Linked DNA regions of Xenopus tropicalis. The protein of the gene in region 1 purifies or fractionates together with the protein of each later gene. This does not show direct contact. Links are inferred from orthologs where the notes say so. Each region holds a gene or a part of one and is shown in the gene's direction. Other genes may lie near its edges.

Region 1 (7,584 bases):
TAATTTCTATGCATCTGTAAATGTATTTTTGTTTTACCGACATCTTTAAATAAAACATTTTTACTGTCTAATTTTCATAGGGGAGGACTTCATCTTATTAGCCCATTAAAGGGGCAGTAAATACCCTCTTATTCAGCATCAGTGCAATGAATAGGGTTGAGTTGAACATACGTTTTGCCTGGCTTATGAGCACCCACGTAGTAAAGCTATTAAACTTCCAATAATGTATCTTGCTAAGCAAGGAGGGGCTTAAAGGGCCCCAGAGTGCTGCCTCCACAGCTACTAAGCAGCAACTATTTGCCTTCTTCTGACTCTTTGCAGCTCTCAAATGGGGGTCACTGACCCCGGCAGCCAAAACACTTGCTCTGTGAGGCTACAGTTTTATTGTTATTTTTCATTTATATAATTTTTCCATTCACGCCCTCTCCTATTCATATATCGGTCTTTTATTCAAACTGCGCTCTGGTTGTTAAGGTAATTTAGATCCTAGCAACCAGATAGCTGCTGAAATGCCAAGCTGGAGAACTGCTGCACAAAAACTGAAATCATTAAAAAAAACTACAAATAATAAAAAATGAAGACCAATTGCAAATTGTCCCAGATTATCTCGTTCTACATCACACTAATAGGTAACTCAAAGGTAATATATGGTGTTACCGGCACTTTGATGTATAACTATTTCTTCTTGCTGTGCTTTAATTATATATTAAACTTCAATATGAACTTTATAAGAAGCAACTTTCCCAATATAAACTTACTTACAAATATGTATGTTTTTAAGTTAGTCCCTCATTTTTACTGCGTCTCAACCAATCAGTTTCCAGAGATTTCTTGTAAAACAAGGCAACTCCCAGCAACCCTCAGCTGCCGCGTCCAATCCCTATGTCAGGCACTTGCTGTATTGTCCTTTAGACCAGGTCCAAAAGCAGACTTGAAGTTGGTCTATTTTGCTTTCTCATCCGAGGAGGGGAGTGCGTGGGGGAAAACGATCCATAGTAGCTGCGCTGTCCAACATGTAGTGGGTTGATTATTTCTCATACAGCATGATGGAGGGTCATATAGTGAAGCCTATGGAGTCTCTGGGCAGACTGGGGGGGGCGCACATCTGGCCCGCACCCCTCCAGTTGGACAGCCCGCATAATAAGTTTATGTGGGAAAGTTATACAGAAAATAATATAGGCTGTTAAATGAGGCTGTATATCCCCTTTAAAGGGGTTGTTCACCTTTAACATTTAGTATAATGTAGATAATGCTATTTTAAGATAATTTGCAATTGGTCTTTTTTTTTTAACTGCAGTTTTTTTAATTATTTAGCTTTTTGTTCAGCTGCTCTCCAGGTTGGAATTTTAGAAGCTATCTGGTTGGTAGGGTCCAATTTAACCTAACAACCAGGCAGTGGTTTGAAAGAGAGACAGGAATATGAGTAGAGGAGTGCTTAAATAGAAAGATAAGTAATAAAATGTAACAATAACATTGAAGCCTCATACAGCAATAGTTTTTTGGCTGCCGGGGTCAGTGACCCTCATTTTGAAACTGGAAAAGGTTTGAAAAGAAAGGTAAATTAGTCAAAAACTATAAAAAAAAAAAAATGTAGACCAATTGAAAAATTGTTAACCTGAAGGTGAACCACCCCCTTAAGAAAGTTTCTGGCATGTCCTACATATGTTTTCTTCAATAGCATATAGGCAATGGTATGTGTACGGCGGCTATAGAAAAAAAAATGGAATTGGCTGATTTACAACAGACTTTATGACAGCCAGCAACTGGACTTTTCACTTACAAAGGGTGGAGAAATCACCCATTTAATACCTTTAGTTATGTGATTGGAAACAGGAGGGGCTCGTTGTCCAAGTTAGTTTGTAGTTTGTTCTATCATCTCCCACTGATGTTGGAAATGAGTATCTATACACGGCCGCTATGTACCAGCAGCTGCATCTGTCTGACTTTGTGACACATTACTTTGGAACATTCCGGCATCCTTTATTTTATTCTAAGCACACAGCCTAAGTGAGTTGTAGTTGCACTACACCTCCCCTTCAACTCTTCTACATAGCTAAAGCCCATCCTTGTGCAACTGATGCTTAGGGTTGCCACCTTACCTGCTGAGGAACTTTGGGCAGAGAGGTAGGGCGGGATGTTGAAGGGGCGGGGCCGTGATGCAGCAATTGGCCAATTGCCATGTCAGTCTTCAAGAATCCTGGCCGGTCTTCCAAATTGGGAAAACGGGGCAGGTACAGGGTCGGACTTGGGGGTGCAGGGCTCCAGCCGGCCTCGTCCCCTAACCCCCCCCTCCCCAGGGGCCTTGTTCTCCCCCTGACGCCCTCCCCTGAGCGCACGTAAGTTTAGCTCATCAGGGGAGGAACGATTAAGCAGGGTCACTGGGATTTTTCCCACTGTCCCGGCAGCCCAGTCTGACCCTGAGCAGGTAGTTTTGACCCAGACAGCCCTACCGAAAACTTTGCCGTCTGGGTCTCTCTCCCCCTAGCTGGACAAAGGCCTTTCTAGCCAACATAGGGTTAAGGTGGCCATACATGGGCTGATTGTAGCTGCCGATATGGGTCCCTTATTAAGGTCCCCATACACTGGCCGATAGAAGCTGCCCATATGGGTCCCTTGGACTGACTCGGCAGCTTATCGGCCCGTGTAGGGGCAGAAACGAGGATTTTTTTTTTAAGCTACTTGCTACCCGATATCGCCCACCCGTAGGTGGGGATATCGGGTGAAGATCCGCTCGCTTGGCGACATTGCCAAGTGAGCGGATCTTACAGTGTATGGGGACCTTTAGACTGATTCCGCATCTTATCGGGCCGTGTAGGGGCGGCAACGATGGACCTGCCCGACATCTGGCCTGAAATTGCCCAGATATCGATCGGACAGGTTAACAGATTTAGTCGGATCGGGGGCCGCATTGGTTTGTTGATGCAGTCCCCGAACCGACTGCCCCATTACCCATATTACCCACCCGTAGGTGGTGATATCGTGAAAAGATCCGCTTGTTTGGCGACCTCGCCAAGCGAGCGGATCTTAACGTGTATGGGCACCTTTACTTTATATTAACCCTGTGCTCACACAGGCTGACAAATACAGCAACTAGACAGCTGGACATTACAGAGGTACAACACTCACACCGAATTATAAACCTGGCACAAGCCACCACTCTATTCCATTTTCAGGCCCACGGCAGTCGAGCACAGACTCAGTTATTTATTGATGGGGCAGAAAGCAGCACAAAGCTGTTTCCAACAACACTTTCCCCCTCCATCATGGCCGCTTGCTCCCGACAGCACACGGCCGCCCAGTTCTGGGGACGTCACTTCCTGTAGTTAAGTTACCTGACTGGGGGAGGGAGAGTGAGGCCGCGGTGCAGTGTGGGTCGGCTTGTTGGTGGGAGTAGCGGGCTGTACCACGTGGTTAGGTACTCTGCCTCGGTTTCGCGCCCATGAATCTCCTCAGCAGCTTCACGCCTCCCGGCGACGGAGTCCGACGGCTGCAGCCCGGCACTGAGGCAGTGGTGGGCGGCAAGGGGCTCGGCCCTGGGACCCTCTATATTGCAGAGAGGTAAATCTGTCAGTGTCATGGCTGCAGTGAGCCCTCAGGGTGCGGGGGTCGTGGTTCAGCTGTAGCTGCATAACTGGCTTTGAGTCAGACTAACTGCGTCTCAAGTTACATAGTGGCACCTTGAGTGGCTCACTAACCCAACACTGGGCAATTCGTTGCTAGGCAGAAGCCCCATGGCAACCAGTTACTGTTCAACTTTCATTATTCTGCCTGTGGCCCAACATATGGAATTGCTGGTTGCTAGGGGTTACGGCCCAGGTACCTCTCTGCCCATTGTTGGGGGATGCTGATCCATTTTGTTATAGTCTACAGTTTGGGCATTTCCCCCATTGTGCCAAGCTGTAAATTATATCATTATAAACGGTGCTGAGACTTGTATATTATAATTAAGTACCCCCTGTTGCCAAATATAAGGATATTAAAAGTCACCTTCGGCCTCGTGCTTTTATATGTTCATGTAACTACTCGGTGACTTATAATATCCCTATATGTTACAATAGGGGGCACTTTATTCACTATATGTTATAAGGAACTCCTCGGGGGCTTATAATATCCCTATATGTTACAATAGGGGGCACTTTATTCACTATATATTATAAGGAACTCCTCGGGGACTTATAATATCCCTATATGTTACAATAGGGGGCACTTTATTCACTATATGTTATAAGGAACTCCTCGGGGGCTTATAATATCCCTATATGTTACAATAGGGGGTACTTTATTCACTATATATTATAAGGAACTCCTCGGGGACTTATAATATCCCTATATGTTACAATAGGGGGCACTTTATTCACTATATATTATAAGGAACGCCTCGGGGGCTTATAATATCCCTATATGTTACAATAGGGGGTACTTTATTCACTATATATTATAAGGAACTCCTCGGGGGCTTATAATATCCCTATATGTTACAATAGGGGGCACTTTATTCACTATATATTATAAGGAACTCCTTCAGAGCTTATAATATCCCTATATGTTACAATAGGGGGCACTTTATTCACTGTATATTATAAGGAACTCCTCGGGACTTATAATATCCCTATATGTTACAATAGGGGGTACTTTATTCACTATATATTATAAGGAACTCCTTGGGGGCTTATAATATCCCTATATGTTACAATAGGGGTACTTTATTCACTATATATTATAAGGAACTCCTCGGGGACTTATAATATCCCTATATGTTACAATAGGGGTACTTTATTCACTATATATTATAAGGAACTCCTCAGGGGCTTATAATATCCCTATATGTTACAATAGGGGGCACTTTATTCACTATCTATTATAAGGAACTCCTTCAGAGCTTATAATATCCCTATATGTTACAATAGGGGTACTTTATTCACTATATATTATAAGGAACTCCTCGGGGGCTTATAATATCCCTATATGTTACAATAGGGGGCACTTTATTCACTATATATTATAAGGAACTCCTCGGGGACTTATAATATCCCTATATGTTACAATAGGGGGCACTTTATTCACTATATATTATAAGGAACTCCTCGGGGGCGTATAATATCCCTATATGTTACAATAGGGGGCACTTTATTCACTATATATTATAAGGAACTCCTTGGGGGCTTATAATATCCCTATATGTTACAATAGGGGTACTTTATTCACTATATATTATAAGGAACTCCTCGGGGGCTTATAATATCCCTATATGTTACAATAGGGGGCACTTTATTCACTATATATTATAAGGAACTCCTCGGGGACTTATAATATCCCTATATGTTACAATAGGGGGCACTTTATTCACTATATATTATAAGGAACTCCTCGGGGGCGTATAATATCCCTATATGTTACAATAGGGGGCACTTTATTCACTATATATTATAAGGAACTCCTCTGTGACTTATAATATCCCTATATGTTACAATAGGGGGCACTTTATTCACTATATATTATAAGGAACTCCTCGGGGACTTAAAATATCCCTATATGTTACAATAGGGGCTGCTTTATTCACTATATATTGAGTGATTGTGTAGCGTATTTGTTACCTGTATAACCTGCTGGCCATAGGCTAAAGCTGGCTATACACGGGCCGATTGTAGCTGCCGAGGTTGGTCCCTTAGACCTATTCGGCAGCTTATCGGTAGTGTAGGGTCCCCGAACCGACTGCACCTATTACCGGCGTTCTAACTCGATCGAATTAGCTTGAATTCCCCCGATATCCCCCACCCGTAGGTGAAGGAGAAGATCCGCTTGTTTGGTGACCTCGCCAAGCGAGCGGATCTTAACGTGTATGGGCACCTTAACACACATTCCTACACATATTGTGTATAGTACTGACTGTATTATATATATATATATATATATATATATATATATATATATATATATATATATATATATATGCACAGTAACCAGCGTATGGTATAGTCAGTACAGTGTTACCCTATATGTTGGGCTGGCATATTTTGCAGCGCTGAATGGAGATTATACATCATTCCTGCACCAGGGGAGTTTGTAGTCTATAGTCTCTGTAACATACACTAGGTCCAGTTTTAGCAGGAACCAGTTATTCTGCCTTTATGTTGGGGGGTGAACCGTAGCACTTGGGGGGTAACCCACACAGACATGTACAGGACATATATATTCTTTGTAGATGGTTCCCTTGCTGGAAGCAAACCTAAGGGTGAAGACACATGGAGCTGCTAGTAGCAGCTACTTGTCGTGGCTACTAAATGCCAGAAAATCCCCTGCCATAGACAATACTGAGAATTGCCTCAGCTAAAACACATATAGAGACAATTATCAGTAAATGATCAGCATTGTCTATTTCTGTAGCCACAACAAGTAGCTGCTACTAGTAGCTCTGTGTGTCTTCACCCTAAGGGTGAAGACACATGAAGCTACTAGTAGCAGCTACTTGTCATGGCTACTAAAACAGACAATGCTGATCATTTACTGATAATTGTCTTTACATGTGTTTTATCAGAGGCAATTCTCACTATTGTCTATGGCAGGGGATTTTTTGGAGTTTAGTAGCCTTGAAAAAGTAGCTGCTACTAAGTAGCTCTGTGTGTCTTCACCTTAAGGGCTCTGGCACACAGGGAGATTAGTCGCCCGCGACAAATTCTCTTGTTTAAAACCTCACCAAACGAGCCAGTCTTATAGAGCTGCCTTTAGGGCTCTGGCACACGGGGAGACTAATCTCCCCGAGTTGCCATCCCACCGGCGAAAATGTAAGTCGCCGGTGGGATGGCACATGCGGCGGCGCGATTTCGCCAAATCGCCGAAAATGCCTTTGTGAGGCAACTTCGCCGATTTGGCGAAATCGCCTGCGCAGCGTGTGCCATCCCACCGGCGACTTACATTTTCGCCGGTGGGATGGCAACTCGGGGAGATTAGTCTCCCCGTGTGCCAGAGCCCTAAAGGCGGCTCTATAAGATTGGCTCGTTTGGTGAGGTTTTAAATAAGAGAATTTTTCTCCTGATATGGTAACCTACAGTGGGCAATATTGGGCTAATTGGATCATTTGGTTACAATGACAGGGATAAGAGCCGTTGGAGTGAGGACCACATCAATGAGATGAACACAGTCCTTTATTGGATTGGTGGGGTGGGTGGGGGGCCACATACATGGGCAGATAAGCTGCCGGATTGGTCAAGACCACTGTGACCCTTATTATATGGCACAGATAGAGTTAACAGGATCACCCCCTACATTGCCAGTTACTTTAGTCTCTGATTGTCAGTCAGTGCAGGGGCTCATTTTTTTATATATAATTAGGGATTCACCAAATACACTATTTTGCAAATTAGGATAAGGAAATGTTAAAATTAGGATAATGTAGTAATTATACAAATTATTATTATACAAATTAAGATAAGAAAGGTTTAAAGAGGATTCGAATTTGGTTCGGCCGTATCCAAATCCTGCTGAAAAAGGTCAAATCCTGGTTTTGGTGCATCCCATATATATATATATATATATATATATATATATATATATATATATATATATACACAGATTGCAGAGTGGGGA
Region 2 (7,358 bases), on another chromosome or scaffold:
CTTTACGGGGCAGATTTTGAAAACTGAAGCAACGCATATGCCTTCCCACCAGCGGTAGTGAAGAGTTATCGTGGGAGACTAATCTCGCCGTGTGTTACTGCCTTAGCATTAGGGAAAAATCAAGCACAGAAACTAAACTTCCAGGGCTCCTTTGTGACTCTGGCCACTGTAGTGTGTTACAATAGGATGTAATAGATAAAAAATTGTCCCCTCAGGAAATCAGTTCTTGGAAATGACATAGGAGGTATTTAATGGAAAACAAAACCTTAAATCACTGGAGAGGGCGCCAATTTAACCTTTTATAAAAACTCACTGGCCCTGGGTAGTTGGCTTGTGAAAACTGGATCAAGAAACATGGCAGCGCGGTTCATATTATATGTTCATATTATATTCATTATATGAAGCTTATATTTAAATTTTTGTAAATTAAAATATTTGCACTCACTTTAGTGATCACAGAGGAGTACCACCATATCACAATCAGAGCATGCCATAAAACCTAGCTAAATAAGAACATAATAGAACTTCAGAAGCAAACACATTGTAAAGCACAAATTGTATTTAAACTAGCAAAGTTGATGCCCGTTGAGCAATTAAAGATGCATATGGAACATTTATTGAGGTATTAAAACTCAAAACAAACCAAATCATAATTGCCCAATGGGGACTACTTTTGACAGGCACAATGTGAGACCCCCAAAGCATTTCATAACTGGCACAGCATGTGGCCCCCAAAGAATTTGACAACAGGCAGATTGTTTGGCCTTCCCAGCATTTTACCACAGGCACAGTGTGTTGCCCTTCCCAACATTTCATTTGCATTTTTTCGACAGGCATAATATATGCCCTGCCCCCCAGGCATTTCTCAATAGGCACAGTGTGTGGTATATGCCCTGCCCCCCAGGCATTTCTCAATAGGCACAGTGTGTGGCTCCCCCAGCAATAACGACAGGCACAGCATGTGGCCCCCAACATCTCAGCAGAGGCATAGTGTGTGGGTCCCCCAGCATTTCACAACAGGCACAGAGTATGGCCCCCAACATCTCAGCAGAGGAAAAGTGTGTGGGTCCCCCAGAATTTCCTTACATACACAGGGTGCTGCCCCCCCCCCCTTCCACATTTCATTGCAGGCACAGTGTACAGTAGACTCCCTCCGCTATACATTTCTTATGGACTGCCTCAATGCTGCCCTATCCCAGGCCAAGCAAAAATACTATAATACACTTATAAATAATAAAAACAATCCATGGTGCTTGGTTACCATATTCTACTCACTTCTTCATCCTTTACCAAATAAATCACTCACGTCTAAACATAGCCCCTGGAACTTTGCTATTTTAAAAGCAAAGTCAATTCTACCCGCAAACAATTTTCTGGTACTTTTCTATCTTTAAAACAGCTGCACCCTCCACTGAAACATCCTTATGTAGAGTTGCAAATGATCTCTAGATGCCAAGGCCAAAGGACACTACCCTGTTCTCATTGCCTGGACTTATCCTCTGCTTTTTGATACTCTAATGCAAATTAGGGATGCATGAATCCAGGATTCAGTTAGGGATTTGGCCAAGATTCTACCTTTTTCATCAGGATTCAGTCGAATCCATGGTCCTGGCCAAACCGAATCTTTAAAAGACATGTCAATCCCAAAACTACATTTTTGCCCAATACAAAAAAAACATAATTCTAGGCAACCTTCCAAAATGAATTTATTAAAGATTTTCAGTGCTTTAAAAGTTATTTGTAAATGTAATTGTCATTAATTGGTCAAGTCCTGTGATTAAGGGCCAATGTCCAAACCTTGTGTACTTTTGTTCTATGTGCGAGTAATTTTGTATATTTAGAAATAGTTATACTATACCTCCACCCCCCAACACACACAGAATTATATCTGTATCTGTATAGCATTTCTTTTCTCCCATTGGGCTAGTTAAATCCATAACCAGTTCAGCTTTCCCATATTTCTTTTAAGTGTGTTACCCTCCCACTCTCTAGATTTGTGCCTTGCTGCCAAAAATAATTGGAGAATTATTACTCATGATTATTTTATCTACTTGCTAGCCCCATCCCCAAAAGATTTTTTACATACACCCAATGGGATTAATTCAACTGCTTTTCGATGTAAAATCCATTTTTAATGGGGTATTTTAGTTCAGCAACTGAGTTCAATTACAATACCAAGCGGTACCATAATTACTGGCTGCTCGGTAATAAGCTAAATATATGCGTTATTTTCTGCGGTGCGTCCAGCTTTGCCTTTCCCTAACCAAATCACAGAAGCTCTCATTGACTCCATTCATTCAGTTCAGTAAATGGACACAAACACGTAAGCGCGTTTCCTTTAATAGCCGCGCCGTTTGATGACGTGAATGCTGTGCGCCCAAGTACGATGTACGCAGTCCACGTGTTGTTGAGTCGGAAGTGGTGGGAACGTGTGCCGGAGTGTACTCTGGGTAGTTTCAGAGTGCCGCATGCAGGAAGCCAAACGCAACTAAAGGTAAATGTAACTCATTGCTTAATTGAGGGTAGATACGATCTGTCATGGTCATTTTAAAACATGCATTTCATTTTATTTGTCCAGTCCAATGATCGTTGAGATGAAAAGTAAGGGTGTACGACTGCTATCCTGGGTTTTAAAATACTGTTCTCTAGCTCGGATCAAACAGATGTTGAGCCTGCATGGAGGGCTGGAGGTTATACTTCCCTGTGACGATATTCTTCCACTCTGTGCTTCACCCCTGATCATTACAGGTCACTAATTCATGTAACATTGATTTTAACATTATTATACATCCAGGCCCTCCAGTGCTATTTGGTCAGATAATATTTTGTCATCCATTGCCTGGATTTAGTATGGGGATCATGGAGTTATGTCATTGCTTATATACATAAGTGATGGGCACATGAAATGATTTTCAACTAATACTATGCTTACTATCAAAGTGTGTCAGGGGGTTGTTTAAAGTTGCAGTTCAGTTCATCTTCATGTAAGCAAATGTTTATGGCAGACAAATATGGGCACATTTATCAAAGTGACAGTGCAAAAACTGTTAAACTTCTGTGCATGATTTTGGAAGCCTCCCATAGGACTCAATGGCACTCTGCAGCTCCGACCTGGCCCAAGGAAAGTCTCCCATAGGGCTCAATGGCACTCTGCAGCTCCAACCTGGCCCAAGGAAAGTCTCCCATAGGGCTCAATGGCACTCTGCAGCTCCAACCTGGCCCAAGGAAAGTCTCCCATAGGACTCAATGGCACTCTGCAGCTCCAACCCGGCCCAAGGAAAGTCTCCCATAGGACTCAATGGCACTCTGCAGCTCCAACCCGGCCCAAGGAAAGTCTCCCATAGGGCTCAATGGCACTCTGCAGCTCCAACCCGGCCCAAGGAAAGTCTCCCATAGGGCTCAATGGCACTCTGCAGCTCCGACCTGGCCAAAGGAAAGCTACGATAACAAAGCTTTAATAAATTCCAAAACTTTCGTACTCGTTGCGACAAATATGATTTTGTCGTACAAATTGTCACAAAGAATGAAAAAGTTGCACAAATTAACAAGAAAATCGCAGAAAATACGCACCGTTCTAAAATTTTGAAAAAATATGAATTTTTAGTATTCAGACTCAATCGTACATTGATGAATGTGCCCCATAATGTAACTAAAATTTTTTATTATTCTGTTCGATTTCCATTTAAATAGTGTTACACTGATCACAGAGGTTTGACATGACTACTTAACTGTGTGCCCAGACTACCTGAGATTCAACAATCTTTTACCCGTTAAAGAAATCATTATTTGGTTGCTTGAATGCATGGCTAAACTGTATGATTTTTAACTGTTTAGGTGACTTCACCTAATGGAAAACTATACCCCCAAGCAATTAGGTCTCTATAAAAACATATTGCATAAACAAGCTCATATGTAAAACCCTGCTTCATCTGAATAAACCGTTTTCATAAAAATATACTTTTTTAGTAGTATGTGCTATTGGGTACTCCTAAATAGAAAATTGCCATTTCAAGAATTAAGGGCTGCCTCCTGGGATCATAAGATTCACAGTGCACACAAACAAGCCAAGGCACACATGTATTCAGTGGACAGTTCTGTCTTTTGCTTCCACACTACTTCTTGTTACAGTTGCATTATTTCTGGTCATGTGATCTCAGAGGGAGCACACAGCCCATCACTAAATGGTGAATCAAGGGAAAGGGCAATATTTACTGATAAGATTCTTTAATAGCCTACTTAGCATATTATAAACTATCTGTTGGTTAGGTATTCATTCTGGGGGGTATAGTTTTCCTTTTAACTTTGCACTATATATTCCCCCCACAATGCAGCAAATATAGATTCTAACTCTGTACTGCACCACTGTAGGATTAGTACATTAAATGAGCTTGCCCCTGCATAGCAAAATGCTACCTCGAAGATAGTATTCTTTGTCAAGCATGGTAATGCATGCATTTTGACATCTGTTGGTAGAAAACTAGGAGTTGTAGTCCAAACACATATGGAGATCTTCGGGTTACTTATTGTTTGGAAGAGTTTTGTCTTTATGTAGTTCAGTGACACAATCTCTATTTAACATTTATAAATACCCCATTTTGCTTATCAATTTGAAGCTGAAAAAGTTCCATGAGACATATAGGTATGAGATGCATTATCCAGAAACCTAATATCAGTAATCAGCATTATGTGGGAATGCCATTTCCAATAGTGTCCAATTTAACAAACAGTTCATCACTTCTCATTGATGGTAACGAGACTCGCATAAATATATGATGAGCACAATACAGTCCTTTTTTTATTTAACAGGCTGCTTATCCAAAAAAACCCCAAGTCTCAAATATCCCAAGTAGCACCTGTACATGTATTTGCATAATAATTTTAATAGTGTCCTATAGGTTATTGGTATGGGTAATTGTAAAGCCACCCTACTGACTGCTTAAAACTGACATATGTTTATTGTTTCATTACATTTGACTTTTATTGATGACTTAAAAATCACTGCTCCAACTATTCTTTCAATAAGGATGTCATTCCGAGGGAGAGGAGGCTTTAACAGAGGTGGAGGAGGAGGAAGAGGAGGTGGTGGTTTTGGAGGAAGAGGAGGTGGCCGTGGAGGTTATGGACAGGGTGGTGGAAGAGGTGGGTTTGGAAGAGGAGGCGGACGTGGAGGCTTCAACAGAGGAGGATATGACCAAGGTCCTCCTGAGAGTGTTGTTGGTAAATATATTTATATGTATATTTTTTTTTCCAAGTCTTTCGACTGCTCTGATTTCCTGCAAAGTTTTGCAATCATAATCATTTTTTTTCTACATCCTTCAGTCACTTTTGTAATTCTTCAAGTATATATCTCTTCTCCAAAGCAGTTTCTAGCTGAAAGCAAATGTCTGTAGTGTCCCCTATGCTGCTTCCACTCATATGCATGTATTTCTTTTTGTCTTGCAGAGGTTGGGGAATTTATGCATCCATGTGAAGATGATGTGGTGTGTAAATGCATTACACAGGAAAACAGAGTGCCTTATTTCAATGCTCCCATATACCTTGAGAATAAAGAACAGATTGGAAAAGTGGATGAGATATTTGGGCAGCTAAGAGACTTTGTATCCTTTACAGCAAATTATTTCCACGGTCAACATCACTTAACATTGGAACTTTTTTTTTTTTTTTTTTAATTTTAGCTGATACCTCATTAAAGGAGAAGGAAAGGCTAATAAATAGTTAATCAGGCATACCATCAGTTCTCTCAATAGTGCCCTTAAGTCTCCCCATATTTCTTTGGTTCAGATAATCAGAAGCCTCATAGGAAAAAAACCCCGCTGAACTCTGTAAAGAAAGGTCCCATAGTGCCTCGCTCCTGCACCGAGACCAAGACCTATGTACATGCTCAGTTAATAAGACTATGAGGAAGCTTCCTGCTGATTGGCTCAGATCACACATTCCTAAGGGGGGGGAGGGAGTTCTTAGCATTCTTGAGGGACGGGGGAGCAGGAGGGAGCTGTGCAGACTATGGCACAGGAAAACAAAGAAACAACAAATCCTGTTTCTTTTGAAAGAGGACTTATGCTGAGTGCTTATGGCTGTATTTACATGACCTTTCTAATAAGGCTTACTTAGTTTTTACCTTTCCTTCTCCTTTAAATCTACACGTGTATTTGCACAATATGTAGATTGGGCTCCATATGCTTCTGAAATATTTTTGATGTTATTTTTTTGTGTAAGAATTACTGGTTCTTACATTCTTATATTGTCTCCAGTAACTTTTATGAGTGCTTCCTTAATATTTTCAAAGTATTTTTCTATTAAACTCTCTGAAAACATGAAAGCATCTTCATTCAAGAAATTACAGAAGGTAAGCATTTCTCTGTGGTTGAACTATTTAATGTTTGTCTTTATAGTATGCCTCCCTTACACGCATGAAACGCTGTAGCCAAGTAAAGTGGAACTAAAGGAAAATGTGACCAATAAATTCGTATTCTAAGTGACCTATCAAAGGATTTTAATTAATTTGGTGTTAACATATCAATATTTTTGTTTTATATCTTCACCATTTAGTGATGCTGTGCATGCTTGTTTATAGAATCACTCACAGGAATGAGCAAAACAAAATGGTGGTTCTTAGAATAACAGGAAGAAGTATTGGAGTAAAAGATACACTTGTCCATTCTTTGGACCTATCCCTATCATTTATGTATGTCATTGGTTTGTGTGTTTGTATCATGGCTTTTACAAGCCAGAAGAAGAATTAACTGTACTTCCTAAAATGACAGCATTTCATTTTGTGATAAGCCAGTGGCACATATCATTAGAAACAAATATATACATATTTAAAATGACTTAAATGAGTGTTCTAAATTTTGGCCATGAGCCACCCTAAGCCCCACACCGTTTATAACCCATGTATCATACTTTTATGTCTTAGGGGAGTACCCCCCCCTGATGGCAGCCCTGCTTTGGTATAAACTCTATTTATTGCTTAGCAATTACATCATTTTTTCTTTTGATACTGTCTGTATAAGAAATACTACATGCTTGTCTTTGGCTCTCATTGCATGATTATGTATCATTTGCTGTTTATAATATAACTGTATTCTTCTTCAACAGTTTTACATTGACCCAGCAAAGTTGCTTCCACTGCAAAGGTTTCTACCTCGGCCTCCTGGTGAGAAAGGTCCTCCCAGAGGAGGTGGACGAGGTGGAGGGAGAGGTGGAGGACGTGGCAGAGGTGGTGGCAGAGGAGGTGGAGGTTAGTTTGCTTATTTTGGTGCTGCTACTTTGTTTTCTTCCAAAGTAATCTAAAGAGGAACATCAAAAAAATTAAAAGTGTGATTTTTGTTTAAAATCCCTTCTGTTATAAAGCCAAT

What was found.
Region 2: the proteins of clns1a (region 1) and gar1 purify together in Homo sapiens (affinity purification with mass spectrometry; 3 studies listed by BioGRID and IntAct, counting the BioPlex papers as one, with this or other methods). This does not show direct contact. The link is inferred for Xenopus tropicalis from reciprocal best matches to the Homo sapiens genes CLNS1A and GAR1.

Annotation. Positions count from the first base shown.
Region 1 is NC_030678.2:168,854,359-168,861,942, reverse strand, and holds the start of clns1a (methylosome subunit pICln), read left to right. Parts: upstream 1-3,404; 5' UTR 3,405-3,439; coding exon 3,440-3,558; intron 3,559-7,584. UniProt on the Homo sapiens protein: Involved in both the assembly of spliceosomal snRNPs and the methylation of Sm proteins.
Region 2 is NC_030677.2:68,654,101-68,661,458, reverse strand, and holds the start of gar1 (H/ACA ribonucleoprotein complex subunit 1), read left to right. Parts: upstream 1-2,433; 5' UTR 2,434-2,494; intron 2,495-5,023; 5' UTR 5,024-5,024; coding exon 5,025-5,217; intron 5,218-5,442; coding exon 5,443-5,597; intron 5,598-6,286; coding exon 6,287-6,346; intron 6,347-7,098; coding exon 7,099-7,240; intron 7,241-7,358. UniProt on the Homo sapiens protein: Required for ribosome biogenesis and telomere maintenance. Part of the H/ACA small nucleolar ribonucleoprotein (H/ACA snoRNP) complex, which catalyzes pseudouridylation of rRNA.